Arabidopsis thaliana: one gene and its partners. The protein of the gene in region 3 interacts with the protein of the main gene of each other region in a pairwise test. Each region holds a gene or a part of one and is shown on either strand. Other genes may lie near its edges. The genes, in order: MEMB12, DiT1, AT3G28220 and AT5G19570.

What was found.
Region 1: the proteins of AT3G28220 (region 3) and MEMB12 interact in a protein complementation assay, tested with the Arabidopsis thaliana proteins (one large-scale study listed by BioGRID).
Region 2: the proteins of AT3G28220 (region 3) and DiT1 interact in a protein complementation assay, tested with the Arabidopsis thaliana proteins (one large-scale study listed by BioGRID).
Region 4: the proteins of AT3G28220 (region 3) and AT5G19570 interact in a protein complementation assay, tested with the Arabidopsis thaliana proteins (one large-scale study listed by BioGRID).

Annotation. Positions count from the first base shown.
Region 1 is NC_003076.8:20,536,244-20,542,144, reverse strand, and holds MEMB12 (membrin 12), read left to right. Parts: upstream 1-3,148; 5' UTR 3,149-3,289; intron 3,290-3,585; exon of another isoform or gene 3,586-3,614; 5' UTR 3,615-3,692; coding exon 3,693-3,919; intron 3,920-3,994; coding exon 3,995-4,265; intron 4,266-4,339; coding exon 4,340-4,501; 3' UTR 4,502-4,719; downstream 4,720-5,901. Other genes in the region: AT5G50443 (uncharacterized protein), read right to left, coding at 1,261-1,306, 1,403-1,608; UBC33 (ubiquitin-conjugating enzyme 33), read left to right, coding at 5,838-5,894. UniProt on the Arabidopsis thaliana protein: Involved in transport of proteins from the cis/medial-Golgi to the trans-Golgi network.
Region 2 is NC_003076.8:4,057,798-4,064,894, reverse strand, and holds DiT1 (dicarboxylate transporter 1), read left to right. Parts: upstream 1-2,605; 5' UTR 2,606-2,975; coding exon 2,976-4,064; intron 4,065-4,293; coding exon 4,294-4,515; intron 4,516-4,605; coding exon 4,606-4,968; 3' UTR 4,969-5,044; coding exon of another isoform or gene 5,045-5,045; 3' UTR 5,046-5,316; downstream 5,317-7,097. Other genes in the region: MYB46 (myb domain protein 46), read left to right, coding at 1-236, 1,395-1,956; AT5G12850 (CCCH-type zinc finger protein with ARM repeat domain-containing protein), read right to left, coding at 5,707-7,097. UniProt on the Arabidopsis thaliana protein: 2-oxoglutarate/malate translocator involved with DIT2-1 in primary ammonia assimilation and in the re-assimilation of ammonia generated by the photorespiratory pathway.
Region 3 is NC_003074.8:10,521,034-10,527,843, reverse strand, and holds AT3G28220 (TRAF-like family protein), read right to left. Parts: upstream 3,664-6,810; 5' UTR 3,425-3,663; coding exon 3,084-3,424; intron 2,987-3,083; coding exon 2,814-2,986; intron 2,643-2,813; coding exon 2,360-2,642; intron 1,756-2,359; coding exon 1,598-1,755; intron 1,505-1,597; coding exon 1,347-1,504; 3' UTR 1,111-1,346; downstream 1-1,110. Other genes in the region: AT3G28223 (F-box family protein), read left to right, coding at 1-175; AT3G28216 (uncharacterized protein), read left to right, coding at 4,420-4,566; PMZ (zinc finger (AN1-like) family protein), read right to left, coding at 6,621-6,810.
Region 4 is NC_003076.8:6,603,988-6,608,886, reverse strand, and holds AT5G19570 (uncharacterized protein), read right to left. Parts: upstream 2,324-4,899; 5' UTR 2,149-2,323; coding exon 1,735-2,148; 3' UTR 1,566-1,734; downstream 1-1,565. Other genes in the region: AT5G19580 (glyoxal oxidase-related protein), read left to right, coding at 1-1,292; ROPGEF10 (ROP uanine nucleotide exchange factor 10), read right to left, coding at 2,757-3,161, 3,247-3,573, 3,658-3,930, 4,275-4,349, 4,452-4,606, 4,717-4,833.

The DNA of each region.
Region 1 (5,901 bases), on a different chromosome or scaffold from region 3:
ATTTTTCTCTCTAGCCTTTTTGTATCAAATATAATTACACAATGTCCACAATAACTTCTACTTTAAGTTGCACACATTATCTGTGTTTTTTTTTTTTTTTTTTTTCCTCGCACACATTATCTGTTTTATAAGATACATCATGGTTGATATGACAAACAAACGATCGCTTCCAACATTGCAGTAAATTTGTTTCATGTTTTGAATTCATAGATAGTATGAGAAGAAGTAACAACAACACTAAACTATCCACGCTTGAAGCTCTTAAATTCTTATTCCTTATCAAAGTAACATAAAGCATACTTCTTGGACTTCAATCCTTGTTGCAGCTTCTGTAAGATTGAAGTTTGGAACATAAGGTAAAAACAAAGAAACAAAAGTGAGAAACCCCTAAACAAATTTAGTAGGATGACATGAAATATCTTTGAATTCATCATCAGTAACTCAGTATCTCTTATGTCTGTCTAAACTGTTTGTTTATTCTCAATCACTTCTACAATTGGAAAACCGTTTTCTGTTGGCTTCCATGATGTGATTTGGAGTTTTTCATTTTGTTACAACTCTTTTTAAATATCCATTTTAGGCGATTTTAGAAGTAGTGGCTCATGAAAGTTTGTATACAGATATGGTTATATTAGTTTATCTCCAATGATCTTATTGAACAAAGGAAGTCATTCTTCTCTCATACTAGTAAGTCAGTAACTTACAACTCTAATGTTCCACGGCATCTATTTACTCGGTAACTAATTTAGTTTGATCCTTCAAGAAATTTCTCAAGTTTTCTTGTGCATGTTTCTTTTTACATCGAGGGCATTTTGTGAGAGGTGATATATATGTTATTAACTTCATTCATTTGAAACCCTACAATACCATTTCTTTGTTGTTGTTATGACAACAGAATCTGATCAGTTGAAATCAAGACGAGCAGATACATGATGAAAATCGAACAAAACAGAGGAAGAACAAATGCGGTGAAACAACAGATACAAAGTCAAGTAATAAATACAAATATAAGCTTCAAGATGTTGCAAAATCTACAAAATCCAATAAACACTCCTTAGAGGTCTAAACAAAGAGCCTTGACTCAATAGAACAGTATCAGAGTAAGACTTTCCAGTAAGAAAAGAAAAAAACATTCTAAGAATAGTAACAGTATCAAACTCTACATTGCTGCATTCACAAACAAGTGTAGGCAATACTATTCTACAACAAAAAAAAAATACAAAAAATCAGAAGATCTAAATAAAAAACTAGAGATGAAATCTATGGTTCATGTGATGTGATCTGATGTTTCCTACTTGGACCTCTCCTGGTACAAAAATACACAATCTTGATGTCAAAATCTCAAATAATTTAGTTTTTTTTGTGTGTGAAAAGATTGGAAAATATTTGATCGTGTACTTACTTGTTCTGTATGGGGCTATAGCGACTCCTCGGGATTTTCCGTAAGCTATCTCCTTCACCTCCAAGAGACTTCTGCTTCATCTCTTTGCTTATTTGCAAATCTCTCAAATCTCTATGTCCCTCTATGTGAAACTTGCTGCTAAAGAAAGCTAACAAAACCAGAAACAGAGCTATTGAGATCGATCTTGATGGATGGAATCTCTTCATTTGTGAATTCTCTTTTAGGTCTTGAGAAAACTTTTAGGTAGAAATATGATGAGTTAAAGTCTTAAAGAGAAGGAGATAGAGAAAGACAACTTGTAAAGCTTGTTGGCTTTGTAAGATATGTATGTATTGTCCTGCGACTTTTTTTGAGATCTGATCACGTGAATTAATTTTTCTTCTCCGAATCATTTATTTCAGATGCTGAGATATTTTTTTTATCTTAATCAACTAATTTATGGAACATTCACTGATGTTGAGAGTGTCCTCACTTTCATACAAGCACATGTATACACGTTTATTTATGTGTTTACCAATATTAGTAAATCCAACTTCATGAGATCTCAAAAGTTGCAGGTAAAACATTAACAGGCTGTGTTTTGTCTCTATGCTAATTGCTAAGGCATCAACATTATTTTCATTCATTTTTATTTTTGTTTTCCTAACAAGCTTTATAGGGACGACTGGACGAGCGAGAAGAAGACAGTCAAATATTTGGGACTTGAGTCACTTGCATGGGAAAATTGCAAAACAAAATTTTCATATATTTGAGAGTTTGAGTTTTACGTACTAGAGAAAGTTTTATAAAATTTAAGATCTTCTTCTAATCAAACATATTTTTAACAATGTAAACTAATACAAATTTTCAATAATTATTTGCATTAAAATCGGAAACTAATAAATAATAAAAAGAATATATCTTTGTCAAATTGTTTTAGGTGAAGCTACTACTACTATACCTTGGAACTTTTTCATTAGCATGGGCTGCGTTTCTTTTACAACTGGCACAATTTTGAAAAAGTGAAACTTATATATATATATATATATATATATATATATACTTTTTTTTTTATATCCACTTTTTATGAGAACGTTATGATGTAAACAAAAGAACTTTAAAATATACACACCTAAAAATCGTATTTAAGCTAAATCTTGCTGGAGTAATAACTATGTTAATCAAACCATTATATGGACAGCTTGTTTGATCAATCTTTGACCATGATAGTGTCAATCCCCCAATGATCCCGTAGAGGCTAATTAGCAATTCCTTAATTTTTTATCGTTCGGATTTATTTATTTTTGTTCAAATTACCGGTCGAATTGTTTTTCTTTTCTGAGCTCATATTTAGTGTTTTTAGTGTTTTTGAACTCAAATTACCGGCCGGATTTTTTAGTGTTTTTAGAATTAGCTCATAAATCTGAACTCATATTTAGTGTTTTTCTTTTCTTTTAAATTCAAAAGACATTTTATTTTATGAGAATACTAAAAACCATACAATGTACATATGATATCCCTTTTTTTTTATAAAGGAAAATAACCATGAAAAAATAGAAAATACAAAAGATGGTTTTATGGGAGATTTGCCATTTATGAAAAGGGAGAAACCATTGTGATTACTAGAAACAAAAAAAATATCGTGATTTTTAGAACATTTTTTTTCTTTGATTAATTTGTTACATTTCTTGTGTTTGTTTACAAAACCGAATTGTAAACAGAACCAGCCAAGCGCGTCTGCTTAATTGGGATTTGTTCCCGGTTTAAGTAAACCAACTCCTTGCTATTCTTTTTTAATCCCTCGCAGAATTTCTCATCCGATTTTCACAAACTTTCCTCGGATCTGGTCACGAATTGCTTTGTGTAACAAATTCAAATTCCAAACCCAAGCAAGCCTCCATTGAACTGGTACACGGATAAATTTTTTCTAAAGCTTTTCTTAGATTTCTCTCAATGCGATTTTGTTGAATTTCTTGGTTTCAGTCGATCGAATCAAATGAATTGCCGATTAGATGTTTTCTTAACATAATTTCTAGGATTTTGATCGAATTGCTGGTTCGTGATCGAGTGATTTGTCTGGATTAGATTTTAAGTTTTATGCAAATCTTGTTGAAAGGTGCTTAACTTTTGATTCAAGTTTTACTTAAGAGCCAAATTATAGGTCAATGTCATGTAGATTACTATTAATTCTTGAGTAAACTGGTTTAAATATGTTTTTGTATATATGTTCCAGATTAGAAGTTGATATTGATATAATTCAGCAAAGAGAAGAAGATTCTGCGGTGTTCTTGGTCACTTTGTGGTTTGTATAATGGCGTCTGGGACAGTGGGAGGGTTGTCTGAGGTATATAGTAGTGCAAAAAGGATTCTACTAAGAGCTCGGAATGGAATCGAGAAGTTGGAGAGGTTCGACTCTGATCCTACCGACCTCGCCTCCTCCGTGAAACGAGACATTACCGAGGTTCAATCTCTTTGTTCCAATATGGACGGTCTCTGGCGTTCGATCCCTGTCAAATCCCAGCGTGATCTTTGGAGAAGGTGAGGAAGTTTAGATCATCAAAATAGCTGAAGTAGTGGTTAAACTCTTGAGCATTTGGATTTTTTTTGCTGTAGGAAGAGTGAACAAGTAGGAGAAGAGGCTGAGTATTTGAACCAAAGTCTAGAGAAGTACATGTGGAGGAATCAGAGGAAGATGTTGGAAGCTAAAGAGAGAGCGGATTTGTTAGGTAGAGGGAGTGGAGAAGGAGCTCACATTTTGCAAATATTTGATGAGGAGGCTCAAGGAATGAACTCTGTTAAGAATTCAAAGAGAATGCTTGAAGATTCGTTTCAAAGTGGAGTTGCTATTCTCTCTAAATATGCTGAACAAAGGGATCGTTTGAAGGTAACCAAACCCTAACTTAAGCTTTAAGTCAATGAAGAAAACAGTTTTTTAACATTGGGTTTTTGAATTCTCAGAGTGCGCAGAGGAAGGCTTTGGATGTTCTGAACACTGTTGGGCTCTCTAACTCTGTATTGAGGCTCATTGAGAGGCGTAATCGTGTTGATACCTGGATTAAATATGCGGGTATGATCGCAACGCTTGTCATATTGTATCTCTTCATAAGATGGACACGCTAGAACCAGAGAACTTTAATTACATTACCATAGATTGTATGGAGAGAGTTTTGTAACACGTTTTTTTGTTTTGTTTATACCTCTTACAAGACATTTTCAAAACACTAGTACACATATTCTCCATTTCATTTGCGTCTAGTATGCTCTCGATTTATGCCAACTTTTCTTCCCCAACTTTTGATGTGTTCCTCCTATATCCGAGAATGATGTATTGCTCGCAGTGTAAGAGAACTTGTTCAAAACTTCTCCGAGACTGCAATCGTTGTTTAACACAGAAGCTACTACATTTGTTTGGGTCATTGCTTCGGCGACTAACATGAGCTTCAAGACAGTTCATATTTAAAGTGATTCGAAACAGTTGACTTTAGCATCATTGTATTAATGGTCAATGTTTTTTTTTGACCAAAATAGTCAATTCCCCAAAGGTCTGATTATGACAAATACCGAACCGGGATAGGATAATTATAATTAAATACAGAACCGACTCAACTGGAATAATTTTGATCCGGTTAAAGGAAAACCAATCTCCTTTTGATATTTCGACACTCTCTCTTTCCTCTCTCCTTGTCTCTGTACCGCGTCGAAATATGAGAAACGAATGATTTGATCATCAATCAACGAGAAACACACACGGAGAAAGAGAATCTCAAATTAGCTCCAGCTCCTGATCGATTCCGATTTTCACAATTCTTTCCTTGGATCTGCTCTTACCTTGTCACGATTTCACTTCCCTGTGTTTTTGATTTATACTTGGTCATCCAATAACGAAACTTTGATCAAACTGGTACGCCGATTATTTTCTTTCTTTCTTCTGATTTTCTTAGATTTCATTAACTTGATTGACTCAAAATCAATAGGGATCTTTAGGGAATATTCTTTGATATGTTTTGGAATTTTATCTGATTGCAAAATATTTGTGTGTATGTTTGTTTTGTTTAATTGGAATTTTAAGTTTTTTTTTTTGTTTTCATCACAATTTCATGGGTTTAGGCAATTTTGTTGAACGGTGATCTTTTTTTGTGTGTGTGTATCAATTTGTCAATTTGTATTTAGAACAGATACTTTAAGAAGTGTTGCTTCTCTATATGTGACTTGAGATTGTAGTAATAGCTTAACTATACGGCAATGTCATGGAGTAGATTATACATGCTTGTTCATGTCAGTTTTCCAGATGTATGACTTAAGCAGGATGGTTTCTTTATCGAAGATGACCTTAATTTGGTTTATGTTACTGTCATTCATTTCATACTTAAAGGTTGGATTATATTTTCTACAGTTTACAATTCGTTGTTTTGGTTGACAGGAACTACAGTTTATTGGAACTCCCTGAAGCATTTAGATGGCAGAAAAAGCTTGTATAAAGCGTCTTCAAAAAGAATACAGAGCGCTTTGCAAGGTATTAT
Region 2 (7,097 bases), on a different chromosome or scaffold from region 3:
AAGAAGATGAAGAAGGGACTTTGGTCTCCTGAGGAAGACTCAAAGCTGATGCAATACATGTTAAGCAATGGACAAGGATGTTGGAGTGATGTTGCGAAAAACGCAGGACTTCAAAGATGTGGCAAAAGCTGCCGTCTTCGTTGGATCAACTATCTTCGTCCTGACCTCAAGCGTGGCGCTTTCTCTCCTCAAGAAGAGGATCTCATCATTCGCTTTCATTCCATCCTCGGCAACAGGTTTACATTTTTACCATCATTTTGGTTTTGACATAATAACAACAACTAAGAGATAGAATAAAATATGGAAACTAGTGGCCGGAAGATAAATATAAATGTTCTGGCAAACTAGCTTTTGTCTGGTGAGTCTTGTTTTTAAACTTGTGTAGCTTAATTTGTTTTCGGTTAATGGGTACAAAGTTAAAGCATAGAAAAGCCAGTCAACTGATTTTAAAAAAAAAGTCCACCCTAAAACGACCAAATTGTCAAATTAGATCTTGATAACGTTTTCACCATATTTTATTTGATTTTTTTTTTCTACCAAATAAATAAGAAGTGCAGAGCTATCTATTTAGAGGTATAATATCTATGTTTGTTTTAAGGACGAGTTTTCAATTATACTATTACATTAATCAGTAAAAAGTAATACTATATATATAAGATACGTTAACATCGTAAAATGTATAATCAAACTTACGTGGAAGGATAAAGTTTGGTCGAGTTTTCATTGGTACGATTAGTAACTGTTTAAATTCAAAGGGAAGAATGATTGTGTACGAAGAAAATTGACCCAAAAGAAAGTTGAATTAGAATAATAGTAGTAAGAATGGAAATAGACGCATAAAACCAAAATAGGTATGAGTACATTCACATGTAATTATGTGAGTGGTCAAAGTTCGTTGATCGTGGGTTTTAAGACTTAGAGTGCGTCTTATGATCTTATCTAACAACAAACACTTATTTTAGTGAAAGCGGCTTTTGTCACTTTACACACCTTTTCTTCTCTTCCTTAGGGTTTTACTTCAACTTTCATCTTTGTAATTATATATTTATTAGTTCCTTTTTTTGTCACTTTCTCCAGAAATATACGTTCTAGTGTTTTTTACGCAGGACATGTTTCCTCTCTATTTATATATATATATATATATATATATATATATATATATATATATATAGATTCAATTCAAAACACGCAGTGTGTATAATGTCATTTTATTGCTTAATATGATTGTGCAATTTTATAATTGTTGATATATTGCCTCTTTTTCACGTACTCAAACATAAAAAACATGAAGAACGGATCACTCTCTAATTCCCATGCAAACCATGCACTGGTATACATTTTACATAACATCATCTCATTAAACTATTCTACTCTCTTATTCTTCGATTTCATAGGTGGTCTCAGATTGCAGCACGATTGCCTGGTCGGACCGATAACGAGATCAAGAATTTCTGGAACTCAACAATAAAGAAAAGGCTAAAGAAGATGTCCGATACCTCCAACTTAATCAACAACTCATCCTCATCACCCAACACAGCAAGCGATTCCTCTTCTAATTCCGCATCTTCTTTGGATATTAAAGACATTATAGGAAGCTTCATGTCCTTACAAGAACAAGGCTTCGTCAACCCTTCCTTGACCCACATACAAACCAACAATCCATTTCCAACGGGAAACATGATCAGCCACCCGTGCAATGACGATTTTACCCCTTATGTAGATGGTATCTATGGAGTAAACGCAGGGGTACAAGGGGAACTCTACTTCCCACCTTTGGAATGTGAAGAAGGTGATTGGTACAATGCAAATATAAACAACCACTTAGACGAGTTGAACACTAATGGATCCGGAAACGCACCTGAGGGTATGAGACCAGTGGAAGAATTTTGGGACCTTGACCAGTTGATGAACACTGAGGTTCCTTCGTTTTACTTCAACTTCAAACAAAGCATATGAATATTTTTACGTCATCTTATTCTTTTTTCTATTGCGGTTTATACTCAAGATTCTTAGCCACACACACATAAATGCAAATATATATACATTGTTAGAGAGTATTTTGTATTTCGAATAATCTTTTCGTACTAGGGCTTGAGCCTTGAGGTGCCATGTAATGATTAGTCAATGTAAAACATATATCCTATAATAAATAAATAAAAGAAATAATAAGCACATACATTCTTTAATATAACAGGGGCAAACACTTGAAGAATTTTGTAATCAAGTAGCAATGGAGAAGATTGAACTAATTAAATGAAAGTTTTTCTGATGTTATATCTTTGGATAAAACTGAACATTTTGTTTTATTGAATGTACTTTAAAACATTTGGTAACTTTCTTAGACATTCACATTAGAAAGTATCCTCTTACATAAAAGAATCATGTATTCAATATTTGATGTCACACCTTACTCTAAACAAACAAATCAAAACTATGAACCATATAACACTCAAAGAAAAAAAAACGAGAGGCCGCTTAAGGGTTTACACTAGATTTAATTCCAAGCGAAGCCATCTCGGCCCATCTTGGACAATGTAATGAAAGCTACTATTCTATTGCCAGTTAATCTTTCATTGGACGATCCACTAGTAAACGCATAGTTTAAGATCTTTCAAAACCAAAAAACAAAGCTAATAAATCAATAGAAAATTTGTTGAGTGAAGGATTTTGCTTTGTATGTTTCGTCGATCTAAAAAGACCAAACCCAAACCCAAAATGGCTTTTCGTAAATATTTCAGCCAATAGGATGAGGTGACTGACCCACCAAAGACGGAGATCTCTATTTCTCACCTCACGATCTCATCTCATCATCACTCTCTCTCACTCTTGTCCGTATATTCCTTTTCTTAATCTCACCGTCCGATTCCAATCCAACGGTCAACATTTATCCAACTCTCTCTTTCCTCTTCTTACTCATTTCCTTCTTCACTTCCCTCTCCTCTTCACACCTCTCTCTCGCCGACGACGCTACAACCATGGCGTCTCTCGCTCTCTCCGGCTCCTGCTCTCTCGCTTTCCCTCTCAAATCTCGATCTCTCTCTCTCCCTCGTCCTCCTTCTTCCTCTCTCAATTTGACGAAACCTCTCCGATCTCTCGATTCTCGCTTCTCCTTACTCAAATCTCCACTTCCCGTCTCTTTACGCCGGAGATCATCAACTCTCGTTAAAGCCTCTTCCACCGTCGCTTCAGCTTCCTCTTCTCCAACTCCTCCTTTGGTTCCAGCTCCGGTTCCATGGCAAGGAGCTGCCATTAAGCCTCTTCTCGCTTCGATCGCTACTGGTTTGATTCTATGGTTCGTTCCAGTCCCCGAAGGTGTCACTCGCAACGCGTGGCAATTACTCGCGATCTTCCTCGCCACCATCGTCGGGATCATCACTCAGCCGCTTCCTCTCGGTGCTGTTGCTCTAATGGGATTAGGAGCTTCCGTTCTCACCAAAACCCTAACGTTCGCCGCCGCGTTCTCCGCTTTCGGAGATCCAATCCCGTGGCTCATCGCTCTTGCCTTCTTCTTCGCTCGCGGTTTCATCAAAACCGGTCTCGGTAACCGTGTAGCTTACCAGTTCGTTAGACTCTTCGGTAGCTCCTCCCTTGGTCTCGGTTACAGTCTCGTCTTCAGTGAAGCTCTTTTAGCTCCGGCGATTCCTTCTGTCTCGGCTCGTGCCGGTGGAATCTTTCTCCCGTTGGTGAAATCTCTCTGTGTTGCTTGTGGGAGTAACGTTGGGGATGGAACAGAGCACCGTCTTGGCTCGTGGTTGATGCTTACTTGTTTCCAGACTTCTGTGATCTCTTCTTCTATGTTCTTGACGGCTATGGCTGCGAATCCTTTGAGTGCTAATTTGGCGTTTAACACGATTAAGCAGACGATTGGATGGACTGATTGGGCTAAAGCTGCGATTGTACCAGGACTTGTGTCTTTGATTGTTGTTCCGTTTCTTTTGTATCTCATCTATCCTCCTACGGTGAAGAGCAGTCCTGATGCTCCTAAGCTGGCTCAGGAAAAGCTTGACAAGATGGGACCTATGTCTAAGAACGAATTGATTATGGCTGCCACTTTATTCCTCACGGTAAGTGTGCTTCTGCTTCATCGGATCTGTTCTTACTTATGGTGAGAGCTTGATTTGAAAGGTGCTTCAGTATTGAACATTGAGAGATTTTAGCTATTGTAGCTCCTTAGATTAAGCTAGGGCTTTGCTTCTGTTTAATGCATTTGCTTTGAGTGAAAATGTTTGTGGTTTTGGTGTTTTATTACAGAGAAGGTTTTCCTTTTCTAAAAAAGTGTTCTCCTTGACACAGGTTGGTCTCTGGATCTTTGGAGCTAAGTTGGGTGTAGATGCTGTGACTGCAGCCATTCTTGGATTATCAGTCCTTCTTGTGACAGGTGTTGTGACATGGAAAGAGTGCTTAGCTGAGTCGGTCGCATGGGACACACTCACCTGGTTCGCTGCTCTCATTGCGATGGCTGGTTATCTTAACAAATATGGTCTCATTGAGTGGTTCAGCCAGACCGTAGTCAAGGTTTGTTAAATGATTTGATGAATGCTTAATAAGCCTAATGACTTAGCATGCTAATGAAATGTTTTGACATTGTTTGGGTTTTGATTGCAGTTTGTGGGAGGATTGGGTTTGTCATGGCAGCTATCTTTTGGAATCCTCGTCCTCTTGTATTTCTACACTCACTACTTCTTTGCTAGTGGAGCTGCCCACATTGGTGCTATGTTCACTGCCTTTTTATCGGTTTCAACCGCTCTAGGCACTCCACCTTACTTTGCAGCCTTGGTTCTTGCGTTCCTTTCCAACCTGATGGGAGGATTGACCCATTATGGTATCGGGTCTGCGCCTATCTTCTACGGAGCTAACTACGTGCCGCTGGCTAAATGGTGGGGCTATGGATTCCTGATTTCAATAGTCAACATTCTCATCTGGCTTGGTGTAGGTGGTGCCTGGTGGAAGTTCATTGGCTTGTGGTGAGGACCACCATACACCAATCTTCCCATTCTTTTCCTTACTTATATATATAATCTCTTAGAACGGCTTTGAGATTCAGATTTGAGAAGGATTGAAATCAGGGTTATAAGGATTGAGCAGAGTTTTTCTGCAATTTTTATTCTCACTCACACACATTTTGAAGTGTAAGCAATCTTAACTTGCGTCAATTTTGTTTGATTTCTAACTTTACTGTTTCAAAGTGAGACCACCACTTTACTTGATAGTTACTCGACTTCCATAAACGTGTTAGTTGAGAGATTAATGTCTATTAGTCTATGAATCGCTGGTTAAAGTTTAGTGGAAAAAACAGGAAAGCAGAGAAAGCAATAGGAAATGAATGAATCTTATTAGCTGAAACAATATGTTATTATTTCTCATACAGTGTTCTTTGACAAATATGAAGGAGATATTAGAAACAATTGACAAACTGAGAGGATACAAAAAATGTAAATCAGAAATCCGGGAAGTAATAGAGGCGCACTTTGGCCATTGTTACAACAGAGATGATACAATAATTAATTTAATGAGGTGATAAAAATAAGAAAGTAAAGAAATTTCAGAAAGAAGCCTGAAAAAACTGAGCCTTTTAGGGTTATTAGAATCGAAAAAAGCTTACCCGGAGTTTGCTTTTGTTTCCGTTTGCTTTCTTGAATAATAAATAAACGAATCATCAGTTTCACAGCTTCACAGAAATGTGAACCTCTCTCTCGCAGCTGAGGCTCAGCGATCTAGGTGCAGCTGTTCAAGCCACGCATCAAGAATGTCGCTCTCACGAGTGTCACTGTTGTGAGGATTCACACTCGAACCACCTTGAGTCAATGGCCTTGCACCATTCATGTTCACAACACGGTTTCCGTTCCTAGGTGATGAAGAGTCTTTTAACATCTGCTGAGCCCATGAAACATCTGCTTCCCTGTTTGGGTTATTAGCCAAGGAATGAGATTTTCTCAACCGACCTAACTCATCTGATTGGACTGACCAATCCACCTTGCTTCCATGGGTCTGGTCCCAACTTGACCATGGACTTAATGGCGAACCAGAATCAGTCGGCATTAAATCACGGGGCAGACTAGATCCAAAATCACGGGAGCTTAGGCTGCGTGAATGTAGCTGCTGTTTCATTCGAGCATTCATTGGGGAAATAGGCTCTCCGCCTCGGGGTGACGAGGCTTGCTGCAGAAGAGAATGTTGCTCCACATTCTTTGGAGAAGACATTAGATTTGTCTTGATAGGAGAAAGCATGCTCTGCTTATTATTCTGCAGCTGATTAAGAAGCGCGGACTTGTGGGAAGGCGATAGAACAGATGAAACAGCAAGTTGATCAGAGAAACGAGGAGATGCAACCTCAGCTGAGAAGAGTTCCTCCAGATTTGAAGGGTTCAGTGTCTTAGGACGAGCGGAATGATTCATAAAGCGTGGACTGTGCATATCGCCAGCAAGCTGACGTTGCATTTCAAACTCATGCAGCATGCTAAGCTGCTCAGAAGGAATATCTCTAGCGTTAAGAGAAGATCTCAGACGACTCAACTGGATATTGCTTCCAGGAAGATTCAACGCCGGTATGTTCTGCTGAGGCCAACCCATCGATGAATGGGGCATACTACCATTTCCAGAAGGAGATATTGGTGGGGTGAACGAATGTTGAGCAGCAGATGGTGAGCCTGGTAACATGTTCAAAACTGACGCCATGTCCATAGTAGAGGCGGAAACAGCAGACGAAGCCCGAGGAGATGGCAATCCAGATCCTGTGGAAGGGTACAAGGGACGCAACTCCTCATTTGCGTGAGCAAAGAAGCAAACCCTTCGGTTGCAACCCATTCCGTCCTTGCACAATCGTGTTCTGTACTGAGCAGGGTGTAGCCAGCATTCAAAAACCCCATGAGCATATTCACACATATCACCTTGCTTACAGGATCCTTTCTTAAAATCCGGGCATGGAACACACGTATAGTGAAACTTCCTCGGGTCTCTTCTCCTTGCATTCTCACCTGGGTGTGCAAATGGACATTCAGTCCAGTCATGGGAATATGCTCGAGAACATGGGCGGATCTTGAACGAGAACATACGAAACTCATCGGTTGAATAAATCCCGCTTTTGATATCAGGCAATG
Region 3 (6,810 bases):
ATATAGTAGCGATGGTCGCATTATGAGCTTTGCTGGAGACTGGAGCCCGTTTGAACACCTCTTTAACCCATGTTTCTCCAGGTTTGCTCTCCCGCATTGGCTGCATCGGATCCCTTCCTCGCCTCCAACCGACAAGCTTCGAATGCGAATAAGATTACGGAAAAGGGCAACTTAACAAAGTAAGCAGTAATTACTCAAACTGTTATGTTTCTGATATTATTTACCTTTCTTCTCTATACATGTTTAGAATCGTTTTGGCTGAGGATTTGTAGCTTAACTTTTATGTAAATCTTGTCGTAGGGCTTAACATCAGCGGCTTATATTTTTTATTTTTATTTTGTCTACAATTTTTTTATGAGATTTTGATAACACTAGAGATTGTAGGAAGAGCAAAACTTTTTTATTAACCTAAACTTCTTTAGGATAGTTAAGGAATCTTGAATTGTCTATTTGGACGTAAAGTTAAAACCATCCAGAGTTGGAGCTCCCTTCTTTAGTTTCCTTTAGGATAATCAATAAGTGTTCTGTTTCCAAATGAATGGTTTTAGAATCAATGTGTCTTTGTGACTTGTGATGCAAGCAAAGAGCCAAAAACTGTGTGGATAGGGTTGGATTTTCCTCTTTGATTTGCTACGTACGTTTTGTCATCTCCCTTCCAAGCCTTCATCAACTAGTAGAGAGTATTTTCTTTGCTTCTTATTTATTTCCTAAAAGGAACGAGTTGTATTAGATATTGGTAATTTTGATTTGCTTATTGATGATTGTTAAAAATACAATGAAAGAAGAGTATGGATTGGTTACATAGCTTAATTTACATAGAGTATACATGGCAGATATATTATACATTATGAATTGCTTGGTAGATCTATATGTATTATATACACTACATAACCAGAGAAATAATAGAGTAACAAACAGATGAAAGAGAGCAAATAACAAAGAAGCACTCGTGAAACTTAAGAACATGATCGATGTTTATTGTTGGTGCGCAAAGCTTGTTATTATTTCAAATTACTATCATACGCGCAAACTTATTCGGTTGATTTTAGAAGTGTTATTCCACGGTTAGTGTTAGTCTTAGTCGCAGCTAGAATGAAGTAAGAACAAGAGTTTTTCAATGGTAAATTAAGACTGCTTTTATTCTTAGTTTTCATTTATTTAAATAGGAAACAAGTACAAGAAAAGCTAGCTTGGAATCAACGATTTCTACAAACTAGGGAATTGGGAAAAGTGGGAGATAGGCTCCTAAACCTTAGGAAGACCAATCCTCCAATTATTAGCACAAAAACACTTAAAAAACAGAACACAATTGGTTCCAAGCTCTCTGGTTTTGCATTATGCAAAACTTAACTTGGAAAGTATTTTGTGTTAGAGAAATCTTCAAATTCAATCTCCATCTTCAATGTATCATTCACAAGAAGACCTTTAGAAGTATCCTTAAGATCAGCAAATGGTACAAACTTCTGGAATCCCCAACTGTTTGCTTGATCCGACCAGCTTTCAACTGTCATTAAGTTAGTGTTAATTAAACTCTAAAAGAAAAAAATTAATAGAGTAAGTAACATTAGCCACACTATTATGGTTCGATATAATTTACCTTTCTTCTCCATGTGTTTAGAATCTCTCTGGTTTATAATCCGTAGCTTAGCTTTTAGGTAAATCTTGTCATACGGCTTAACATCAACCGCAACAACATATAACGACAACGAGTTACCCTGTCCTTCGCCATCGCCACTTGGATACACTTTCAAAGCCCTAAGAGTTGTATATTAAAATATTGTAAATAGTTAATTTTTTCTTGAATCAGTATTAGTAAGCCTGCGCAAATAAACCTAATCGAATGTACCGAACTAAAATCGAAACAAAATAACAGAATCGAACGGAATCAAAAATTAAAAAATAATCAAATGGATACTAAATTCTATATATAACCGAAAGAACCGAAAGAACCGAAACTAAATGGCTACGTACCAAAATATCCCGGATAACCAAAATATCTGAAATATAAATATATTTCCAAAAATATTAGTTATTTTTAAACTAAATAATTAAAAATATTAGTTATTTTTAAACTAAATAATTAAAAATATATATAAAATAGTTAAAATATTCAAAAATAATCAAAAATATCCAAAAATAACCGAAATATCCAAAAATAATTAAAATATCCGAAAATATTCAAATCAAAATAACGGAATGGATACTAAATTTAAAACCGAAAGAACCAAACCGAAATTTCAAAATAACCAAATAGATAATAACTTTAGAACCGAAAAAACCGATAACGGAATGGATAACCGAACATCCAGGACTAAGTATCAATATGTGGCTTAAAGAATTTATGACATGAGGAACTCACCAGCTTCTCCCACCGATCACGAACTTGTCAGAGACATAGTACTGTTTCTCTAGTGACGAGAAATTGGGTAACGTCCATTTGTAAAGGCGGTCATGCAAACTCTTAGTGAATGAGAACACTTCCCATTTGTTAAAAACTTCAGTGACAAATACGTCCACACCGAATAAAACATTGTCACCGTCGAAAAGCCAACCAGCATTGGGATTAGCCACGTCGGTGTAGGGTCTAACATTACCATATCCCCAATATGGTTTGAACAGAAAAAAGCGTTTTGCATCCGTCTCTGTGTACCAAGACATGCGTTTGAGATTGTGTGTTTTTAAATGCAAATTTTGGCATTTGAAACTATGCAAACTATCAGCGTCTCAATTGTTTTAAATTTAAACGTTGAAAATTTGATTAATACAATATAGTTTATAAATAAGATATAAATAGGGCGTTCGGATGTATATACCTTGATATGTTAAGTACTTGTCCTCTTTCCGGTTATAAATGAAGAATTTGACTTCTGCGTAAACTTCTTTTGGAGAGTTAAGGAGTGTTGAATTGTCTATTTGGACGTACATTGAAACGTAATTAAGTGGAGCTCCTTCCTTAATGTTTCCTTTAGGATAGACAATAAGTGTCCTGTTTGCAAAAGGATATATAGTCTTACAATCAAATGTGTCGTTGAAAATTTGTGATGCAAAGACATATGCAAAATGTAGGATAAAATACTACTTACCAGTTGTATCCACCGGATTCAAAAGGACGGGATTCGTACTTCTCGGCGTTTGGAGAAGTGGCGAATTTTATGAAAGATTCGATTTTGAGACAATAGGTAGATGGTGGGATAACTCTCCATATTTCTCTCCTATCAGATAGCTTATGGGAGGACATTGGGCTATCGATAACGGCAATGGATGATGTTGTTGTTGTTGAAGGTTGTGTTGTTACGATTTTCATGAATTGGAATGCAAAGAAACAAGAAATGAAGCAAGCCAAGCCAATTGCTCCATAGTTTGTCTTTCTCTTCTCCTCTTGAAACATGTGGTCTTCTTTTTTTATCAACCCCTTTTCAGACATGTTTGGTTAAGTGACTGAATTGGTAAGTGTGACGGTTATAATTTATAAGCAAATGACTGGAATATGTAATGGAGTTAGTTAGATATATTTATCTACACACCAAAAAGGTGAGTTAGTTATATATGTATGATGAGTACCAACATTTATTTGGTATTTAGCTTTTTTTGTTTGGTATAAAGAGTTCTTCACCACAAATATTTATAGCGGAGGATCTTTTGTGCGTTCGATAAAAGTGATAATGTTATTATGAACAAGTTATATATTCACGTGTCTTGAGATTTCACGTCGGTATAAGATGGATTGCGACCAGATAAGATTTCTTGAGTTATCGACCAGAAAAGATTTGTTCAACACGTGTTTTCAAGAAAAAGACAAAAGTTTAAGTTGTACCTAAATTTAGCATGTAACGTCAAACACTCCAGACATAGCTTTAGCTAACAACAAGAAATGGACCCAAACGCTCTACACCACAACATAGTTTTGTTCTTCTGTTCCGATCCTAGCCTCTGTTTTTGGATTTAGCTTTAGCTTTAGCTATAATGTAGAACTTCAGTAATCAATACAAAGACTAAAAACTATATTTTATTATATACGTATCAAAACTATCGATTAAATGCTTAATAATTAATTTTTAAAAAATGTTTTTATTTGTAGAAAATATTTTTTATTAATTTATAGTATAATATATAATAATATTTGAGTTTTTATTTTATAAATATCTAGAATTTATAATAAATAAATTATTAGGAATGACCTTCCAATGCTACTCATTTTTAATTCTACCCTTTCATGTAATTCATTTTCATTACTCTCTTTTAATTTTTAATAACCATATATCCTTATTTTTTTAATGTTTAAAGTTAACAAAATAAAATTGTGTTTTTCCTACCAACAATATTTCGACGATAATTTTTTCGCCAAAAATAGTTTTTTTTGTTTGTACAGACGGTAATGTTTTTACATATGATGGAGGCCAGATTCACACACTTGTGTGCATGCAAGAAAATTTTTTTAATAACATGATGGAGTCGGTGGGATTGTCTTTGTTTGGGCAAAGGATACGGTATAAGCTTCCTTTTGAGAAGTTTATAGAGCTGAACCGTTGTATACTAGAGATGATATTTTCGAGAGAATGTGTCTAGCTGCAAAGTGGACAAAAGCGGTTGTTATATTTACGGAGAAGGAATAGATTCTTGAAGAATGTAATGATGAAAAGAGCTTGTGAAAACGTCAATGGTGAGAATGCTCGAGTTTGTGATGATGGAAATGATGTTAGAGGAGGTGATGATGAGAATGACATTTTTAATGTTGGAATCCAAGCTAAAAGTCGGCCACAAAACAACTTGGTGAAGGTCTGATACGTTCATGAGAAGTTGGCACGTGTGAGAACTGAAGTGAGAGATCGGAGTCACGTGTGAAGAAACTTATAAATAGTAAGAGTCTAAGAGAGAGTAGAGAGAAAAGCATCCTTCGTGATCATATTGATGTTGTGAGTAGAATTAGGGCTTATGCATGTGCTCTGTTCTTAGGAGATAAGATTGGAGAACTGTAACTTCAAGCTTATCGATTAGGGTTTTGATTCTTTGTAATTGGATTGATAGATAAGAAATACAAAGGATTACACTTTCATTCTTATCAAGGTCCGAATCAAGTATCACAAATTTCACTTAGTGATTAATTGTGTAAAAGCTTTTGGTTTGGGAAACTTATGATGTTCAGGATGATGGTTTTAATTTGGATTATCGGATTTATGTGTAACATGATGGGATGATGGTTTTGACTATGATCTCGGCTTCAAGATATAGATTATGGTTTTTGGCTATTTGTCTTGAATTTTTAATTTGTAGGATAATGGTTTTTGTCTTGTAATTGCCTCGGGTTTGGTATGTTATATACAACATTATTATGTTATTTATTCATTACTTTTGTGGAGAAAAGAGTGATAGAGATTGCTTGGTAAGAAAATAAACAGACACAGAAATTGGTAACCGAGTTCACGGCCTCAACCGCTACGTCTCGGGGTCTCGGGGGAGATCTCTTGCTCCCAAGCTTCACTAACTTGTGATGATGTCTTTTGGTTTTACAGATTTGCACTCAAGAAGAACAAAGATTCAAGAACAACAAAGAGGAAGAAGAAAGCTTGTTTAGGAAGCTCTTTTATCTCTCTTCTCTAGAACTCTTTTTAGATTCTTTTCTCACCTACCTCCACTATACGTCGTACGTTGTAATGCATATATAGGTGACTTAAATGAGCAACAAACTTTTGCCCACATTTTGTTCTTCTTCACCTTGCCAATTTCGTTGGCCCATTAAGGCCCAATGTTTGTGTTATGTAAAACCCAAACAACAACTTTCAATTGAAACTCAAACTCAATCCAATAAAATACAATCAGAACTCTTAACTCAACAAACTCATACTAACTTTTCATACTTAAAAGATGAAAACATAGACTACAAACCATAACTAAACTACACCCGATAAAATTTTTGAAGTAACGTCGAGATTGAATCTCTTTCTTACTACAAAAGTTCATGGCTTTGAGCTCTCCAATCTCCTTCTCACATCCTTTTAAAAATGCTTTGATGACTTCAATCTCATTTCCATAGCTACTTGATATGGTCACACATGTGCGTGTCTCACCTGCTAGACTCTCCATCTCAGCTCCCACATCATATAAACCTTTCTCTAAGGATCACACATCTACTTGTGTCTTGTAAACAACACTCTCAACCTCTTCCATCTCTTCAACCATAGCTATATCGGTCCATTTGAAACAAATGTCGATTAGCGTACAGCAAAATTGAGTATTATGTTAATGATATTAATCACATATTCTCTTTTGTTCACAAATCGATTTCAGCATTACCTCATTTAAGCCATACGAACAACAATTCAATCTTTGGGTTCTTCAATGTATATGCAATCTAGATTACAGACACTGCACCACATTTACATTTTCTAAGTAGTCTTCTTACTGAGTATTGGAACCGACCCAAAAAATTGGACCCAAAACCGAATCTAAAAATTTAGAAGAAACTTCCCAATGAAGTTAATATTAATAAAAACATTCTTCTTCCTTCTCTTACGAAATATTACTCATGAAAATATTAATCTTCTTTCTTGCAAACAATGGAAAATACATGAGAACATAAAGAAGGAATTGGTTGATGCAAACTATTGTTACAAGAGAAGAAACTAAAACGATCTAACTGATGGTGAAGATTTTGATGAAACAGAGCTCCCTCTTCCACACCCTTTCTGGTTTCTTAAACTCAAAGCTTCCATAAACCTCTCGTTCCACCTCGAGCTTGTTCCCGCGGTATTAATGATCTTCTTGTTACAGACATGATCTGTCGGAAACCGGTGTTTCAAACAGAACTTGACT
Region 4 (4,899 bases), on a different chromosome or scaffold from region 3:
TGACCGTAAATGGTACATTGGTGAGCACTGGAGGATACGGAGGAGGAGCCAACACCGCGAGGTACCTATCCAGCTGTGAAAACTGCAAGTGGGAAGAATACCCTCAGGCATTGGCCGCGAAGAGATGGTACTCAACGCAAGCAACTCTCCCTGACGGAAAGTTCTTCGTGATTGGTGGAAGAGACGCCTTGAACTACGAATACATTCCTGAGGAGGGACAAAACAACAGGAAGCTCTTTGACTCATTGCTCCTCAGGCAAACAGACGACCCGGAAGAAAACAACCTTTACCCTTTCGTCTGGCTTAACACCGACGGTAACCTCTTCATTTTCGCTAACAACCGATCCATCCTTCTAAGCCCCAAAACAAACCAAGTCATCAAGGAGTTCCCTCAGCTCCCAGGTGGTGCCCGTAACTACCCGGGATCAGGTTCTTCCGCACTCCTCCCCATCCAACTTTACGTGAAAAACCCCAAGGTCATCCCAGCCGAGGTTCTCGTCTGTGGTGGTTCCAAACAAGACGCGTATTACAAGGCTGGTAAAAAAATATACGAACCAGCACTACAAGACTGCGCCAGGATAAGGATCAACAGCGCAAAGCCACGATGGAAGACGGAGATGATGCCAACCCCACGAATCATGAGTGATACTGTCATCCTCCCTAACGGAGACATCCTTCTAGTCAACGGAGCTAAACGTGGTTGTTCAGGCTGGGGATATGGTAAAGACCCTGCCTTTGCTCCCCTCTTGTACAAGCCCCATGCTGCACGTGGCAAGCGTTTCAGACAGCTCAAGCCCACCACCATCCCACGTATGTACCACTCCAGCGCCATCATTCTTCCAGACGGTAAGGTTCTTGTCGGTGGCAGCAACACCAACGACGGTTACAAGTACAACGTTGAGTTCCCAACGGAGCTTCGCGTTGAGAAATTCTCCCCACCTTACCTCGACCCGGCTCTAGCCAACATAAGGCCAAAGATCGTCACCACCGGCACCCCAAAACAGGTCAAATACGGACAATTCTTCAACGTGAAGGTCGACCTTAAAGAAAAGGGAGCAACCAAGGGAAATCTCAAGGTTACCATGTTAGCCCCTGCCTTCACAACACACAGTATCTCAATGAACATGAGGATGCTCATCTTGGGTGTCAATAATGTCAAACCTGCTGGTGCCGGTTACGATATCCAGGCCGTTGCACCACCAAATGGAAACATCGCTCCACCGGGTTACTATCTTATCTTTGCCATCTACAAAGGTGTTCCCAGCACTGGAGAATGGATTCAGGTCGTCTAATGACGATAATTTTTACCCATTTTGTCTTATGACCGTAACATCTTAATATAAAACAATCACATAATATCAGTTTTTTTTTCCTTCTATATATATTGTTTATGCCACCATTAATGGATCCAAATTACTTGTGTTTTCTTTCACTTCTATAAACTTTTCCGTTCATGTAAACCTTTTCGGTGAGTTTTTATGACTAAATTTTGTATTGGAGAAATTCTTTTATTATTACTTTTGGCTCTATTCTTTCTTCACTAGTTCGGTTTTGCGTATAAATCATTCGATGCGTTCATTGCAAGTCACTGTTTGTTTCATTGACTAGTAATGTTAATTACCTTCGATAATATTGCAGAGAGTTAGCTAAAATTCTCAAAAGATGGTACACAAATAGTTCTTTCGCAAAATAGATCTCACAGAAACAGAGTCACGGTTTTACAAAATTCGAATTTCACAGAACACAAAGCCAAATTCCAAATACAATAAAGCTCGTACCTAACAAAGCAAGTCCGATTTGAGTTTCTTCCCCTAAAAGGATCCCAAAAGCGGCGGTTGCGGCAAAGGTTGTGGCGTTAGTCACCGGAACGGCAAGAGAGATGGGAGCGTGACTGAGAAGGGCGAAGAATGTGGCGGAGGCGGAGAGGTTTATGAGGAAAGGAATTGAGTATTGCCAGAAGAGGAGGAGATTGATCCAGTCGCGGAGAGCAATCATGATTTTGCGGCGGATCTGAAGAGGAGGAGAATGAGATTCTGTTGTCGAAGAAGACTTTGTTTTATCCCAGGCAAGAGCGCCACGACGGATCAGAGCATTGGTGGCTCCCCATACGAGCCCTACCGCCACCATCTTATCCATGTCTTCCTTCATCGCCGGTGGCTGATCCCGATTTGCCTTTTCCGTTGTTCTGTGTTTTAACCACTAAATGTTGAGTAAAGGAGATCAAAAAGAAGAATTATTTGGATATCCAGAACCGACCCGAACCCGAAAGGTACCGAACTAAACCCGATCCGAAAAATTTAAAAATCCAAATAACGGACCCGAATACCTGAATAGTCCGGATGGTAAACACAGATCAATGGTATTATCACAAACCACTAAATTACATGTCGTCATCAAATAATGTTTCATTACAATACTACTACACTACTAGTCATTATCAATGAGCTTCAAAATCCATTAGGAAACAATGTTGTAGATTAGACGTTACAATACAAAACACCAAAGAACAAAAATACCAAAATATTGTTACACACTGAATCACACTTCCTTCTTAGAAAAAACAACAGGAAGCAATAGTCAAAACAAGCAACAATCATGATCAAACACCAAGTCTCATGTCCAAATCCTAAAACCAATGCCTGCATTGTTATATATGTACATTCTCACACACTTTAACCTTCTTCTATTCTCTCTCTCTCACTCTCTTTGTGTTTTTCTTCTTCTATGCCCTGTTCTATTACCTTCTCTTTTCACTATCAGTGTCTGTCACTAGGGCTTCTCATGTTCTCTAACTTTGCTAGATATGAAAATTTCTTCGGTAGAGCTCTTGGAGACTTCATCATGGGCTTCTCCTTCTCCTGCTCAACTTTGTGGAAGAATTCTATATCACTCATTGAACTATGCTTCTTAGTATCAGATGACAATCTCCACCCTATGAAGTCTGATAGTTTCCTCGAGTTTGGTGTTTCCGCTGCAACCACCTTTTCAGTTTCCTCGTATTCTGATTCTGCCTCGCTTTCTGATCTTGTCTCTGCCTCTCCCATCAACTGTCTTTGAACTAGCCGATCGGCTTCAAGAACATCCTCTATTCTTGACATTATCTTTGAAGCAAGACTCTCTAGTACCCTTGAATAGCTCTCCAAAATCGCCTGTCCAACATCCTGTAAGATCAAATCACAACAAACTCTTACTCAGTCTCACTACATTTTTGTTGATGTTTGTTTAGTCTTTGTTATGTTATGTTACCTTGTTGTTTTTAATCTTGGAGACTTCAAGGGAGGATTGTGGGATCCCAGGAAATTGTTGTTTGAGCATAACCAAAATGGTCTCAGCTCGGACTTCGAAAAGCTCCCTCTTCTCTAAGCTAACAGTGGATCCCCACTGAGATTTCCCGTCTTTCTCTTTCTGGCACATCTTCCTCTTCCAGATCACCATGGAAGCTTCAATCCTGTTCTTTAGATCAAGTACTTTGTGTTCCGTTGACAAATCCAAGAAAGAGACAAAGTAGTCAGGATCAAAGCTCTCCTCTGTTATGCTCTTGTAAAGAAAATCTCCCAAGCTTGTCTTCCCATTCTACATAACCAACAGCCTCATCAGCTTCCTAGCTTAGTGGAAATTGTAAAGAAACAGAACACTTTTGAAGAAGAAGTAAGTAACCTTTGGAAGGGAATCAATGTAGTTTTCAGGAACGTGCATTTCAGACAATACATGAGCATTGATGGCCGTGGCGGCTTTAAGGACTTGAGCCACAGAATCTTTCTGATTCTGCAACCATCTACGTGATTCCTCAGACAAGCCATCTGTTGGAACCTTAACAACTGGTAACCACCAGTTCTCATCCCTCCTCCAATCTCCATTGTGATCTGCATCCTCCATATCTCTTGGCACATACCAAAAGTCTTTCTGATCCTTGAAGTTGTCCAAAGTTTCCTGCCAAATGAGTAATTGCATTAGTATGATAAATGGTCACAACTCATCTATTTTTGTTTGTTATATATATATATCATGATCATTTTATAATACATGCACTCCTATATGAAATTAATTAATGAGATGGTACTCTTGGTGTTATGACGTTTTCAGTTATATTTATCTTTATAATTTGCAAAGATGACTATGACTTGTAGTATATATAGTAGTTTGTCCTAGTGTCATGGATATTGTTGCAAACAAAATATTTTTGAAACGATGTGGTGTTTGATATAATATAATGGTTTAATTTTTCCCAAACGTTGAAACCGCGGTTGAAACAATCAAGTAGTAATTAAACTCACGAGAAGAACCGAGTCAAGTTTGCGTAAAGCTGGAATGTTCGTCAGCAAATCATCTCTTTGTTTTGTAACCATGATCTACAAAGGAGAAAATTAGGGTTAATAAGAAAAATCGTCACTAGTAGACTAGTAGTTGTTATATATGTACGTAATTAATGACTAACAGTTGCATGCATTCACCTCAGTGAATTGGCCATTTTTACCCATTTGTCTAGAAGGAACAAACTGGACAATGTGATCAATCACAGATAATAACCAACCCATTTCTTTCCTCCAATTCTCTTTTGTCTCCGGATACATAGGCTGCAATTTCATCTGCTCTCCAAACATCGAATCTGCATGCCAATACCAAAGCCACATTAATTAGTTTGTGACTTATTTTAACCATTCAAATCGTTATTAGACATTTAATGTTTTAATCATATTAGTAGTGTTAAAGGTTTACCAGCGAGTTTGGTGATGGCGTTTGACAAAGCTAACGCAGAGGTCTCCCCTGTCCCACCGCCTGACATGTCCTCTCCAAGAAGCAGTTTTGCGAATCTTTCCTTCATCACTTCCATGTCTGAAACAGATATCAATACAAAGATTATGTAAGGAATCCAACATAGAATAATATTAATTAAATAGT